2 linked regions of the Anolis sagrei genome follow. The protein of the gene in region 2 purifies or fractionates together with the protein of the main gene of each other region. This does not show direct contact. Links are inferred from orthologs where the notes say so. Each region holds a gene or a part of one and is shown on either strand. Other genes may lie near its edges.

Region 1 (7,350 bases), on a different chromosome or scaffold from region 2:
AAAGCTTCGTCTTCTACGGCTTGGCCGGGGTTATATAGCCCTACATCTCCTTTGCTGAAGCACTTCAACCAGCCATCACTGGAACCTGAATTCTTTTTACCCTGGAAGTCTACAAAGCTCTGCTTGGTAAGGGTCACTCGCGGAAGCCAGAAGCAGTTGGTACCGGGTGCAGGGGCTCCACGCCAACAGAGGCAAAGACAGACTGCCCAGATTAGAAGTTAAGGATTTCCCCATTAGTTACAGTTATGAAGATAGTGCCTGTTCCCTGTGGACAAGATTGAGAGAGAGCCAATAGACCAGTAGTTCTCAACCTGGGGTCCCCAGATGTTTTTGGCCTACAGCTCCCAGAAATCCCAGTCAGTTTACCAGCTGTTAGGATTTCTGGGAGTTGAAGGCCAAAAACATCTGGGGACCCCAGGTTGAGAACCACTGCAATAGACTGTTAAGAAAGCCTTAAAGTACCTGTTTGTTTTCATTAATAAAGAACTTTGTTGAACCTTTAAGCAATCTAAAGACTCTGTTTTAAGGAAATCCAAGGGCCTTTAATCTGAGGCAGCCCGGGTGTCCCGTTGGGCACACGGAATTTATGTCCTGTCTACAGTCTTATGCACAGGCCTAGCGTGCAACAGCACAATGTTTATATGTATATATGGTTTATTTTGGGGGTTTTTAGGGTGTATATTGTATATTGGTGTATATGTATGTGTGTGTATATATGTATATTTGTGTGTGTTTGCGTGTATATATATATATGTATGTGTGTCTGTATGCATGTGTACATGTATATGAATGTATGTGTATATGTATATATGGTTTATTTTGGGGGGGGGGTTAGAGTGTATATGTATAGAAGTGTATATGTATGTGTGTGTATATGTGTATATTTGTGTCTGCTTGCATATATATATGTGTGTGTGTGTGTCTGTATGTATGTGTACATGTATATGAATGTATGTGTATATGTATATATGGTTTATTTTGGGTCTTTTTAGGGTGTATATGTATAGAGGTGTATATGTATGTGTGTGTATATATGTATATTTGTGCATGCTTGCATGTATATGTGTGTGTGTGTCTGTATGTATGTGTACATGTGTAAATGTATATGAATGTATGTGTATATGTATATATGGTTTATTTTGGGGGGGGGGGTTAAGGGTGTATATGTGTAGAGGTGTATATATATGTGTGTGTATGTGTATATTTGTGTGTGCTTCCGGGATATGTATATATGGTTTATTTTGGGTCTTTTTAGGGTGTATATGTATATAGGTGTATATGTGTATATTTGTGTCTGCTTGCATATATATGTGTGTGTGTCTGTATGTATGTGTACATGTATATGAATGTATGTGTATATGTTTATATGGTTTATTTGGGGTTTTTTTGGGGTTTTAGGGGTGATTGTCACTCTTTGGCCTGTTAGTTGTATTGTGTCCAAATTTGGTGCCAATTCGCCCAGTGTTTTTTGAGTTATGTTTATCCCACAAATGAATCTTATATAGAAATAATTATATATAAATAATAATTATATATAAATAACGAATCTTATATAGAAATAATTATATAAATAATTATAATATAATAATAAACGAATCTTATATAGAAATAATTATATATAAATAATTATAATATAATAATAAACAAATCTTATATAGAAATAATTATATATAAATAATAATTACATATAAATAACGAATCTTATATAGAAATATTATATAAATAATTATCATATAATAATAAACGAATCTTATATAGAAATAATTATATATAAATAATTATAATATATATAGGTGTGTATATGTGTGTGCATATATGTATATTTGTGTCTGCTTGTGTATATATATGTGTGTGTGTGTCTATATGTATGTGTACATGTATATGAATGTATGTGTATATGTATATATGGTTTATTTTGGGGGGGGTTAGGGTGTATATGTATAGAGGTGTATATGTATGTGTGTGTATATGTGTATATTTGTGTGTGCTTGCGTATATATATATATATATATGTGTGTCTGTATGCATGTGGACATGTGTACATGTATATGAATGTATGTGTATATGTATATATGGTTTATTTTGGGGGTTTTTTAGGGTGTATATGAATATTGGTGTATATGTATGTGTGTGTATATGTGTATATTTGTGTGTGCTTGCGTATATATATATATATGTATGTGTGTCTGTATGCATGTGGACATGTGTACATGTATATGAATGTATGTGTATATGTATATATGGTTTATTTTTGGGGGGGGTTAGGATGTATATGTATAGAGGTGTATATGTATGTCTGTGTATATATGTATATTTGTCCATGCTGGCATGTATATATGTGTGTGTGTCTGTATGTATGTGTGCATGTGTACATGTATATGAATGTATGTGTGTATGTATATATGGTTTAAATTGGGGGGGGTTGTGTGTTTTTAGGGGTGATTGTCACTCTTTGGACTGTTAGGTGTATTGTATCCAAATTTGGTGTCAATTCGCCCAGTGTTTTTTGAGTTATGTTTATCCCACAAACGAATCTTATATAGAAATAAGATTTCATTCATATCTCTTTCTCTAAAAGGTAACAACTTGTGAAAACGTACGTGTGAAAAAGATCTTGGAGTCCTTGTGGACAACAAGTTAAACATGAGCCAACAATGTGATGTGGCGGCAAAAAATGCCAATGGGATTTTGGCCTACATCAATAGGAGTCTAGTGTCTAGATCTAGGGAAGTCATGCTCCCCATGCTCTATTCTGCTCTGGTTAGACCACACCTGGAATATTGTGTCCAATTCTGGGCACCACAATTCAGGAAATCAGAAGACGCTTCCTTCTTGGGAGGAGAGCAATGTCCAATCTCGATAAAATAGTAAAGAGTAGAGACATCAGACTGGCAACAAAGATCCGCCTAGTCAAAGCCATGGTATTCCCTGTAGTGACCTACGGATGTGAGAGCTGGACCTTAGGGAAGGCTGAGCGAAGGAAGATCGATGCTTTTGAGCTGTGGTGTTGGAGGAAAGTTCTGAGAGTGCCTTGGACTGCGAGAAGATCCAACCAGTCCATCCTCCAGGAAATAAAGCCCGACTGCTCACTGGAGGGAAAGATACTAGAGACAAAGTTGAAGTACTTTGGTCACATCATGAGGAGACAGGAAAGCCTAGAGAAGACAATTATGCTGGGGAAAGTGGAAGGCAAAAGGAAGAGGGGCCGACCAAGGGCAAGATGGATGGATGGCATCCTTGAAGCGACTGGACTGACCTTGAGGGAGCTGGGGGTGGTAACGGCCGACAGGGAGCTCTGGCGTGGGCTGGTCCATGAGGTCACGAAGAGTCGGAGACGACTGAACGAATGAACAACAACAACAAATTGACAAGCTGGAATGTGTCCAGAGGAGGGCGACTAAAATGATCAAGGGTCTGGAGAACAAGCCCTATGAGGAGCGGCTTAACGAGCTGGGCATGTTTAGCCTGAAGAAGAGAAGGCTGAGAGGGGATATGATAGCAATGTATAAATATGTGAGAGGAAGCCACAGGGAAGAGGGAGCAAGCTTGTCTTCTGCTTCCCTGGAGACTAGGACGCAATGGAACAATGGCTTCAAACTACAAGAGAGGAGATTCCATCTGAACACGAGGAAGAACTTCCTGACTGTGAGAGCCGTTCAGCAGTGGAACTCTCTGCCCCGGAGTGTGGTGGAGGCCCCTTCTTTGGAAGCTTTTAAGCAGAGGCTGGATGGCCATCTGTCAGGGGTGATTTGAATGCAACATTCCTGCATCTTGACAGGGGGTTGGACTGGATGGCCCATGAGGTCTCTTCCAACTCTTTGATTCTATGATTCTATGATATATAAACCCTTTTTCCTAGTTCCAACAGACCTCCCTACCTCTGAGGATGCTTGCCATAGATGCAGGCGAAACGTCAGGAGAGAATGCCTCTAGAACATGGTCATATAGCCCCAAAAAACCTACAACAACCCATTCACCCAATCCTCCGTGCCCTGCTCTGTCCACCAGGGGGCGCTCTTCTCTACGCCTTCCTAGCATTGCCCATTTCGAGCCATAGCGTTCGCTTCTCGGTGGAGATTGTCCCGCGGCGAGACCCGTCAGCCCCTCACTCTCTCCTGCGGTTGCTGGGGCGTCTCTTCCTTAGCGACTGAGCCGGGGAAGGGAGCCTCCCTCGGATTGGCCGCCGGCGCTGCCTGTGTGGGGAAGCCCCGGCTGGGATTGGTCGAGCGGGGCGTAGTAGGCGGGGCGTGTTGTGTGGAGGGCTGGTTCCGCCGGCGTCGGGGCGTCCGAGGCGCCTCTCTCTCCGGCCCAGAGGAGCCATGTCCGGCCAGGAGGAGGAGGAGGAGCGCGCCAAGGAGATCCTCAGGGGCTTCAAGCTGTATCCCAGGGAAGGAAGGAAAGAAAGGAAAGAAAGCAAGCGGGGGAACGAGGAGGCCAGGGATGGAGGCCCAGCTCCTGCGGGTTTGCTCGGGGAATTACGGTACAGAAGCCTTGCTTGGGAGGGGAGAGGGAGGGGGATATGGGGGAATATGGGAGGCTACTTCAATAATAATAATAATAATAATAATAATAATGTTCTAGAGGCATTCTCTCCTGACGTTTCGCCTGCATCTATGGCAAGCATCCTCAGAGGTAGTGAGGTCTGTTGGAACTAGGAAAATGGGTTTATATATCTGTGGAATGACCAGGGTGGGACAAAGAACTCTTCTCTGCTGGAGCTAGGTGTGAATGTTTCAACTGACCACCTTCATTAGCATTAGAAGGCCTGGCTGAGCCTGGGGGAATCTTTTGTTGAGAGGCGATTAGATGTGCCTGATCGTTTACTCTCTGCTGTTTTGCTGTTGTAATTTTTGAGTTTTTTTTAATACTGGTAGCCAGATTTTGTTCATTTTCATGGTTTCCTCCTTTCTGTTGAAATTGTCCACATGCTTGTGTATTTCAATGGCTTCTCTGTGGAGTCTGACATGGTCCCAGCATTTCTGTGTTCTCAAATAATATGCTGTGTCCAGATCAGTTCCTCAGGTGCTCTGCTATGGCTGACTTCTCTGGTTGAAGGAGTCTGCAGTGCTTTTCATGTTCCTTGATTCGTGTTTGGGCAACGATGCTGCGTTTGGTGTTCCCTCTGTAGACTTGTCCACAGCTGCATGGTACACGGTGGACTCCTGCAGCGGTGAGAGGATCCCTCTTGTCCATTGCTGAACGAAGCATTTGTTGTATCTTCTTGGTGGGTCCGTAGGTTGTTTGTATGTTGTGTTTCCTCATCAGCTTCCCTCTGTGGTCAGTGGTTCCCTTGATGTATGGCAGGAACACTTTTCCTCTGGGTGGATCTTCATCTTGACTCTTGTGGCTTGTTCTGGGTCTTGCAGCTCTTCTGATGTCTGAGGTGGAGTCTCCATTGGCCTGGAGAGCCCAGTTGAGGTGGTTCCCCCAGGCTCAGCCAGGCCTTCTAATGCTAATGAAGGTGGTCAGTTGAAACATTCACACCTAGCTCCAGCAGAGAAGAGCTCTTTGTCCCACCCCAGTCATTCCACAGACATATAAACCCATTTTCCTATTTCCAACAGACCTCACTACCTCTGAGGATGCTTGCCATAGATGCAGGCGAAACGTCAGGAGAAAATGCCTCTAGAACATGGCCATATAGCCTGAAAAAACCCACAAGAACCTAGCAGAGTAAATAATAATAAACTATTGTATTCCTTTGTATACCTGACCTTTTTTCACGTGAGATCTAAAGCAGCTATAAATAAATATAATAATAATAAATGGCAGAGGAAATAACAATTTAAATGTATCAAATCCTGATCTCTTTCACATGAGATCAAAGGCGGATATAAATATAATAATAATAAAGGGCAGATATAATAATAATAATAATAATAATAATAATAATAAATAGCAGAGGAAATAATAATAAACTATCGTATTCCTTTGTATACCTGACCTTTTTTCACATGAGATCAAAGGCGGATATAAATAAATATAATAATAATAAATGGCAGAGGAAATAATAACAATTTAAACAAACTACCGTATTTCTTTGTATCAAAACCTGCCCTTTTTTCACGTGAGATCAAAGGTGGATATAATAATAATAATAATAATAATAATAATAATAATAAATGGCAGATACAAATATAATTATATGAACCACTAAGACAATTAAGATCTTCTGGTGGGGCCCTGCTCTCAATCCCACCACTTTCGCAATCGCATCTGGTGGGAATGAGAGACAGGGCCTTTTCTGTGGTGGCCCCTCGGCTATGGAATTCTCTCCCAATTGAGATCAGATATGCCCCCTCCCTCCTGTCCTTCAGGAGGCTGGTGAAATCTTGGCTATGGAAGGAAGCATTCCCAAAGTAATGGATGAAACCGGCTACAGAACAAAGTTATCGACCACACAAACGGACTGAGTTGGACATGATTTTATCTTGGCGATTTGGCTTATTTGTAATTTTAATCGATATGTATTTTAACTTGTTATTATATGATGTTTTTAGATAATACTATTAGCATTGAATCCTTGCTGTAAGCCGGTTTGAGTCAAGGAGGTGAGAAGATCGGGATATAAAAGTTTTAAATAAATAATAATAAATAATAAGAATAATAAATAGCAGAGGAAATAATAATAAACTACCGTATTCCTTTGTATCTAAGGTTCCCCATTTTTTTAACTTGAGATCAAAACTCAAGTGAAACTCACTTTTTTGCACTGGAGATCAATGGCAGACATAAATATAATGATTTTTTTTCATGTCAGGAGCGACTTGAGAAATTGCAAGTCGCTTCTGGTGTGAGAGAATTGACTGTCTGCAAGGACGGTGCCCAGGGGACGCCCAGGTGTTTTGATGTTTTAATGTTTTACCATCCTTGGGAGGTTTCTCTCATGTCCCCCATGGGGAGCTGGAACTGACAGAGGGAGCTCATCCGCGCTGTCCCCGGAGTTGAACTTCCAACCTTCCGGTCTTCAGTCCTGCCGGCTATATAATGATAATTATAATATATTATTATCACAGTATAATAATAATAATAAATGGCAGATATAAATATAATGACAATAATACATGGCAGATATAAATATAACGATAATAATAATACATGGCAGATATAAATATAATAACAGTAATAAATGGCAGATATAAATATATGATGATGATAATAAGTGACAGATATAAATATAATTACGATGATAATAATAAAAATGGCAGATATAAATATAATAACAATAAATGGCAGATATAAATATAATAACAATAAATGGCAGATATAGATATAACAATACCAATAATTATAGAATCATAGAGTTGGAAGATACCTCATGGGCCATCCAGTCCAACCCCCTGCCAAGAA
Region 2 (7,626 bases):
AACACAGCTTTATAGTCACTCCCTCCTTGGAGGATTGCTGAGTCGCACCCAGTTGGAAAGGGCCTGGGGCTTCTCCTACTCACAAGTAGTCCAGGGCAGCCAAGCTGGATGTAAGGATTCAGGACCCCTGTGGCAGGAGCAGCAGCAGTCTGAGACTAGGCCAAGGCAGGTGCAACACAGCTTTATAGTCACTCCCTCCTTGGAGGATTGCTGAGTCGCACCCAGTTGGAAAGGGCCTGGGGCTTCTCCTACTCACAAGTGGTCCAGGGCAGCCGAGCTGGGTGGAAGGATTCAGGACCCCTGTGGCAGGAGCAGCAGCAGTCTGAGACTAGGCCAAGGCAGGTGCAACACAGCTTTATAGTCACTCCCTCCTTGGAGGATTGCTGAGTCGCACCCAGTTGGAAAGGGCCTGGGGCTTCTCCTACTCACAAGTGGTCCAGGGCAGCCAAGCTGGATGGAAGGATTCAGGACCCCTGTGGCAGGAGCAGCAGCAGTCTGAGACTAGGCCAAGGCAGGTGCAACACAGCTTTATAGTCACTCCCTCCTTGGAGGATTGCTGAGTCGCACCCAGTTGGAAAGGGCCTGGGGCTTCTCCTACTCACAAGTGGTCCAGGGCAGCCAAGCTGGATGGAAGGATTCAGGACCCCTGTGGCAGGAGCAGCAGCAGTCTGAGACTACGGACTCAAACAATTATGGATCTGGACCAAAATTGACATGAATATTCCATATGTCCAAATATGAACACAGATGGAGTTTGGGGGAAATAGACCTTGATATTTGGGAGTTGTAGTTGCTGAGATTTGTAGTTCACCTACAATCAAAAAGCATTCTGAACCCCACCAACAACAGTATTGGGTTAAACTTCTCACACAGAACCCCCATGACCAACATAAAGTACTTAAGGCCATCCAGTCCGTCTCCCTTCACCAGGGCAAGAAAACGTAATCAAAGCCCTCCTGACAAAGAGCCATCCAGCCATAGATATAGATAGATATATATGATTCACACGCACACACACACACAGATAGTATCATAGATCTGAAAGGGACCCCTAAAGAAGGACATATATATATGTTGCATGTTCCAGAGTAGGCAAACCAGACCTCCACATCAACACTTACAAACAACAAGAAACACTGTTTAACCACAAGCATAAAGAAATTACATATATTAGAAACCAACACTTTCTGATTACTTTATTTTCCAGATCACCAGATTGGGCCACAACAATGCGTGTCAGGGGACCGCTAGTCATATTGTGTGTGTGTGTGTGTGTGTTTGTGTGAAAGGTTTTCTCGAGATACATTGAGCCCTCATAATTTCATGATGACCATTTGTGTATGTGTCCATAGCTCTTCAAGGGGCTCTTCCACCCTGACATAGAACCCAGAATGTCAAGGCAGATAATCCACAAAATGCATCAGTTGTGTTAATTTTGTGATGGTTTTAAATGTGGCATGTTATTTATTTTGTTTTAAATTATCTGCTATATTTTTTATGACGATAAGCTGCTCTGAGTCCCTTGTTGGGAGATGGTCCGGTGTATAAATAAAGTTTATTATCATCATCATCATCATCATCATCGTTGTTGTTGTTGTTGTTATTTGAAACACAACAAGATGAATCCACAGCAAACAAGATCACTCTGCTGGCTGTTGTATTGCATCACACACTGGACACTTCCCAAGTGTCTAGGACTGTGTGATGTATCGGCGAATAATGCATGCAGATCCCAGTAGGGTGGCATTTCTGCAGCTGGCAGATGGTAATCTTGTCAGCGCTGATTGTGTTTAAGTGCAGGCCGAGTTCTTTAGGCACTGCACCCAGTGTGCCAATCACCACTGTCATTATTATTATTATTATTATTATTATTATTATTATTTGAAACACAACAAGATGAGTCCACAGCATCAGTGTCTTAGGATCACTCTGCTACCTGTTGAACTGGATCACACGTCGGCCACTTCCCAAGTGTCTAGGACTGTGTGATATATTGGTGAATGATGCGCGCAGATCCTAGTAAGGTGGTCTTCTGCAGTTGGCAGATGGTAATCTTGTCAGCGCCACTTGTGTTTAAGTGCAGACCAAGGTCTTTAGGCACTGCACCCAGTGTGCCGATCACCACTGGGACCACCTTGACTGGCTTGTGCCAGAGTCTTTGCAGTTCGATCTTTAAATCCTCATATCATGTCAGATGATGATTATTATTATTATTATTTGAATTGAGTTATCTGAATCCACACTGCCATATAATCCAGTTCAATGTGGATTTTATACAGCTGTGTAGAAGGAGCCTAAGCAGTTAGTTTAACCTCCACTTTGTGAGTAAAATTGAATGACGGTGTCACGAAACGACGCATCCCTGGAAAGTGTGTCACCAACCTGGAATGTTTGGAAAACTATGGTCCAATTCAGCACGCAGAACCTAAACTCCTAAAGCCTTGTGTACAACTGAATGGAGTTGGCTTTTGTGGTCTCTTCTAATTCTATTAATTGCCCTTCTTGCACTGTGTTCTCTGCCCCTGAAAGCATCTTCCTGATCTCCTCCTAGGCTGTGCTTTCTGCTCTGAGACACAAAGAGGCAAGGCAGGGATTGCAAGGGATCCTTTCCCACCTGAAATCAGGAAAGACTTCAGCAGGAATGCCAAAAGGACTGGAACAAAAGCAGGGAATGTGTGTGTGTGTGTGCTGCAGGACCTACATTTTCTAGAAGAGGAGTTAAAGCAGCACAAGCACAAGCAGTCAAGACACCCACCCAAAGTGGGTCTCCCTCCCTCCCTCCCTCCCTCCCTCTCTGCAGCCCACCCACTCCTTTCCTGTCCCTGTTCAAAGCCAAGGGGGAGGGCTGAGAAGGCAAACTTTCCCCCTCCCCCCAAAAGGGCCCGGATCCCCCTCTTCCCTTACCTTCTCTCACCGCATCCCATCCGCTGGCTGGCCCCACGATGGAGGCAGGAAAACACCCGAGGAAAGGAGCCACTCCCCCGAGCTCCACCGCGCACGGGCGTCCGGGTCATAGAGAGCTTCCAAGGGAAGAGAGGCGGAGGAAAAGAGCAGGGAAGGAAGAACAGGAGGAGAGGAAGGAAGGAAAGAAAGGGACAGAGGGAGGAAGAAAAGAGAGCCCGGGCATTCCAGGGAGTGAGATTCACAGAACCCGAGAGTTAGAAGGGACCCCAAGGGCCACCCAGTGCAAACCCCTTCTGCCATGTAGGAAAGGCACAATCAAAGCATTCCTGACAGATGGACATCCAGTCTAGTGGACTGGACCATCTGCAAAGGAAAGCATTCCTGAGAGAACTGGGGCATCATAGAATCATAGAGTTGGAAGAGACCCCCAAAAGGGCCATCCAGTGCAAACCCCTGCCTGTTGGAACACACCATCAAAGCACCACCAACAGATGACCATCCAGTCTAGTGGATTGGACCATCCGCAAAGGAAAGCATCCCTGAGAGAACTGGGACATCAGAACCATAGAGTTGGAAGAGACCCACAGAGGCCACCCAGTGCATGTAGGAACACACCATCAAAGCATTCCTGACAGATGGACATCCAGTCTAGTGGATTGGATCATCTGCAAAGGAAAGCATCCCTGAGAGAACTGGGAAATCAGAATCAGAGAGGTGAAAGGGACCCACAAAGGCCATCCAGTACAACCCCCTTCTGCCATGTAGGAACACACCATCAAAGCATTCCTGACAGATAGACATCTAGTCCAGTGGATTGGATCATCTGCAAAGGAGAGCATTCTTGAGAGAACTGGGACATCGGAACCCTAGAGTTGGAAGAGACCCCAAGGGCCATCCAGTGCAAACTTCTTCTGCCTGTTGCCACACCCCATCAAAGCACCACTAACAGATGGCCATCTAGTCTAGTGGATTGCATCATCTGCAAAGGAAAGCATCCCTGAGAGAACTGGGACATCAGAATCATATGGTTGAAGAGACCCCCAAAAGGGCCATCCATTGCAAATCCCTTCTGCCATGTAGGAACACACAATCAAACATTCATGACAGCTGGACACCCAATCTAGTGGATTGGACCATCTGCAAAGGAGAGCATTCCTAAGAAAACTGGGGCATCATAGAATCATAGAGTTGGAAGAGACCCCCAAAAGGGCCATCCAGTGCAAACCCCTTCTGCCATGCAGGAAAAGCACAATCAAAGCATTCTTGACAGATGGCCATCCAGTATAGAGGATTGGACCATCTGCAAAGGAAAGCATCCCTGAGAGAACTGGAACATCAGAATCATATGGTTGGAAAAGACCCCCAAAAGGGCCATCCAGTGTAAACCCCTTCTGCCATGCAGGAAAAGCACAATCAAAGCATTCCCGACAGATAGACATTCAATCTAGTGGACTGGAGCATCTGCAAAGGAAATGGACTATCCTTCTCCGTCTAGGCCCCCTTTTGGACTTCACCCAGATTTTTTTTCATGTCAGGAGTGACTTGAGAAACTGCAAGTCACTTCTGGTGTGAGAGAATTGACTGTCAGCAAGGATGTTGCCCAAGGGATGTATTTTGGATACAGTTGGCCCTCCATATCCAGTGATTTTGAATTAATGGATCCAACCATACACAACTTGAAAATGCTTCAAAAAATTAAATTCCCAAAAGCTAACCTTGATTTTGTCATTTTATATAAGGCATACTATTTTACTATGTCATTTTATATGATGGGACTTCAGTACCCACTGATTTTGGAACTCATGGTGGTCCTGGAATCAAACTCTAGAGCCCTCATTTTGAGGGCTCACTGCATGTGGAAACAGATCTCGCAACCCAATACTGGGTTTGTTTTGTCTGCGAAACTGTAAATATCCAAACCAAAATGCCATCTACTATTTATTTGTCCAAGCTTACCTAGTGGGCTTCCACAGTCAAGTAGTGATCCGAACCCTTTAGTGCTGGAGTTTGAATTCAATGCTCAAGCCATTATACCATGTCGGCTCCCATGTTGGCTCTTTGGCAAAAAAAAAAAAAAAAGAAAAAAGAAAAAAAAGAAAAAAAAAGCATGCAGCCAATTAAAAATATCCACCACCAGTCATGAACTTCTCAAATCAAGATAAAGGCTTTGCAAAACAAAGAAGACTTTGTCACTTGCCAACATAAATCTTTTCAAAACTGGTGTAACTGGGCCTCCAAAGAAAAGAACACTGTCAACTTATCAACTTGCAATTGATAAGGCTCATGACTCAGCCAGACAACTTACGCCTTCAAGAGAAAATGTAGCAGAGAGCCTTTTACCAGAGATATTAAGGAACTTGCTTTGGACTTTCAGTATCTATTCTTCCCCCATAGCTAAAATCCGAGCATTGCAAAATCAATATTTCTCTAGAGCAGGGGTCCTCAAACTAAGGCCCAGGGGCCAGATACGGCCCTCCAAGGTCATTTACCCGGCCCTCGCTCAGGGTCATCCTAAGTTTGAAATTACTTGAAAGCACACAACAACAATCCTGTCTCATCAGCCAAAAGCAGGCCCACACTTCCCATTGAAATACTAATAAGTTTATACATGTTAAAATTGTTCATTTTACTTTTTGTATTGTTTTGAAGTGGTTTTTGCACTACAAATAAGATATGTGCAGTGTGCATAGGAATTCATTCTTTTTCAAATTATAATCTGGCCCTCCAACAGTTTGCGGGACTGTGACCTGGCCCTCTGTTTAAAAAATTTGAGGACCTCTGCTCTAGTGAGACAGTAGAGACTAATATTTGTATAGTAACAAGACAACTCCTACATCTAACCAGTCAACACTAAAGACAGTACTCATTTCCTGAATAGCAGTCTGGGGCATAGCCACCAGATGGCAGTATTACTTCATTCCTATCTGCATTGCCATTTGAAACTGCAATTCTGTACAGTTAAACTGCATTAGATGAGTTTATACTGACCATATAACATAGTTTCAAACTGCACAATATGGCAGTGTCAAAAAGACTTAAGTTACAGTGTTTCTTGCGGTTTGGGAATTGGATTAAGATTCAATGGGTTACCAGCGTTTCTCAACCTGGGGGGGAGGGGTCGTGAAGGGATGTCAGACAGGTCGCCAAAAACCATAAAAAAAAAACACAGTATTTTCTGTTGGTCATGGGGGTTCTGTGTGGGAAGTTTGGCCCAATTCTATCATTTGTGAGAATGTGCTTTGATTGGAGATGAACTATAAATCCCAACAACTACATCTCCCAAATGTCACGGGTCTATTTTCCTCAAACTCCACCAGTGTACACATTTAGGCAGATTGAGTATTTGTGCCAAATTTGGTCCAGATCCATCATTGTTTGAGTCCACAGTGCTCACTGGATGTAGGTCAACTACAACTCCAAAACTCAAGGTCAAAGCCCACCAAACCCTTCCAGTATTTACTGTCAGTTATGGGAGATATTTACATTACAATTCATAACAGTAGCAAAATTACAATTATGAAGTAGCAACGAAAATAATTTTATGCTTGGGGGTCACCACAACATGAGAAACTGTATTAAGGGGTCGCGACATTAGGAAGGTTGAGAACTATTGAGTTAAACCCTTGTGCTGGCAGGACTGAAGACCGACAGGTCAGAGGTTCGAATCTGGGGAGAGCGCAGATGAGCTCCCTCTGTCAGCTCCAGTTCCCCATGCGGGGACATGAGAGAAGCCTCCCACAAGGATGGTAAAACATCCGGGTGTTCCCTGTACAACATCCTTGCAGACGTTCAATTCTCTCACACCAGAAGTGGCTTGCAGTTTCTCAAGTCACTCCTGACACAAAACAAAACAAACAAACCCTCAGAGGAAGTCAATGGAAAACCATTTCTGTACAAATCCTACCAGGAAAACCTCATGACAGGGTTTCCATAACTTGGAAACAAGTTGAAGGTACACAGCAACAACTTATGCCTTCTTTTCCTAGGAGTAAACCTTACTGAATACAGTTAGACTTGTTCCTGAGCATAAATCCATGTAAATGCTCTTACTTTTGAGCATAAATGTATATAACTACAAAGGAGTAGGAGACAACGGGAAGTGAGAGGAAATCTACCCTCAGAAGGGAAATTCACTCCTGGAAGAGTTGTCATGGGGAAAGTGTGTCTCCACTGAAGCTTTATCTCCAATCCTTGTTTTCATGACAACCCAAAATTTCCAACATGCACTTGTCACAGGGACAGACTGAAGTAAAATCTTCTGAACAGGGGTAGAGACAGTAAAACAAACACACAGGGGTGTTAACCCTTTCATATGCTATCCAAATATGTGTTCATAGAAATAGATATATATGGAGTTGCACTTAGAAAATGTACCTGTTCCGACTTACATACAACTTCACCTTAAGAACAAATGTACAGAACCTATTTTGTTTGTAACCCAGAGACTGCTCAAACTTGTGTGGAGATCTTTGCATTTGTGTTTTACCAAAGCATTTTGCAGCTGGAAGTACAATCTGGTTTAGCCAGTTTAACAGGCCTGAGAGAAGTGAAACATGCTCAGTGGAAGGCAATAGAACAAAAGGTGCAATGTAGCTATCTTCAATCTTCAGATTCTTGTCTTTGTTGTGGCAGTTCCTAATGGGTTTTTTTTTTTTTGCAATAGCTTAGTAAACAACAAAAGGGCTTGCAGCACCATAAAAATTGCTATATTTCATTTAGATT

Evidence for each region.
Region 1: the proteins of FBXO10 (region 2) and PDE6D purify together in Homo sapiens (affinity purification with mass spectrometry; 3 studies listed by BioGRID and IntAct, with this or other methods). This does not show direct contact. The link is inferred for Anolis sagrei from reciprocal best matches to the Homo sapiens genes FBXO10 and PDE6D.

The regions. Positions count from the first base shown.
Region 1 is NC_090023.1:266,472,081-266,479,430, forward strand, and holds the start of PDE6D (retinal rod rhodopsin-sensitive cGMP 3',5'-cyclic phosphodiesterase subunit delta), read left to right. Parts: upstream 1-4,244; 5' UTR 4,245-4,319; coding exon 4,320-4,378; intron 4,379-7,350. UniProt on the Homo sapiens protein: Promotes the release of prenylated target proteins from cellular membranes. Modulates the activity of prenylated or palmitoylated Ras family members by regulating their subcellular location.
Region 2 is NC_090022.1:152,323,408-152,331,033, reverse strand, and holds the start of FBXO10 (F-box only protein 10), read right to left. Parts: upstream 3,031-7,626; 5' UTR 2,905-3,030; intron 1-2,904. UniProt on the Homo sapiens protein: Substrate-recognition component of the SCF (SKP1-CUL1-F-box protein)-type E3 ubiquitin ligase complex. Mediates the ubiquitination and degradation of BCL2, an antiapoptotic protein, thereby playing a role in apoptosis by controlling the stability of BCL2.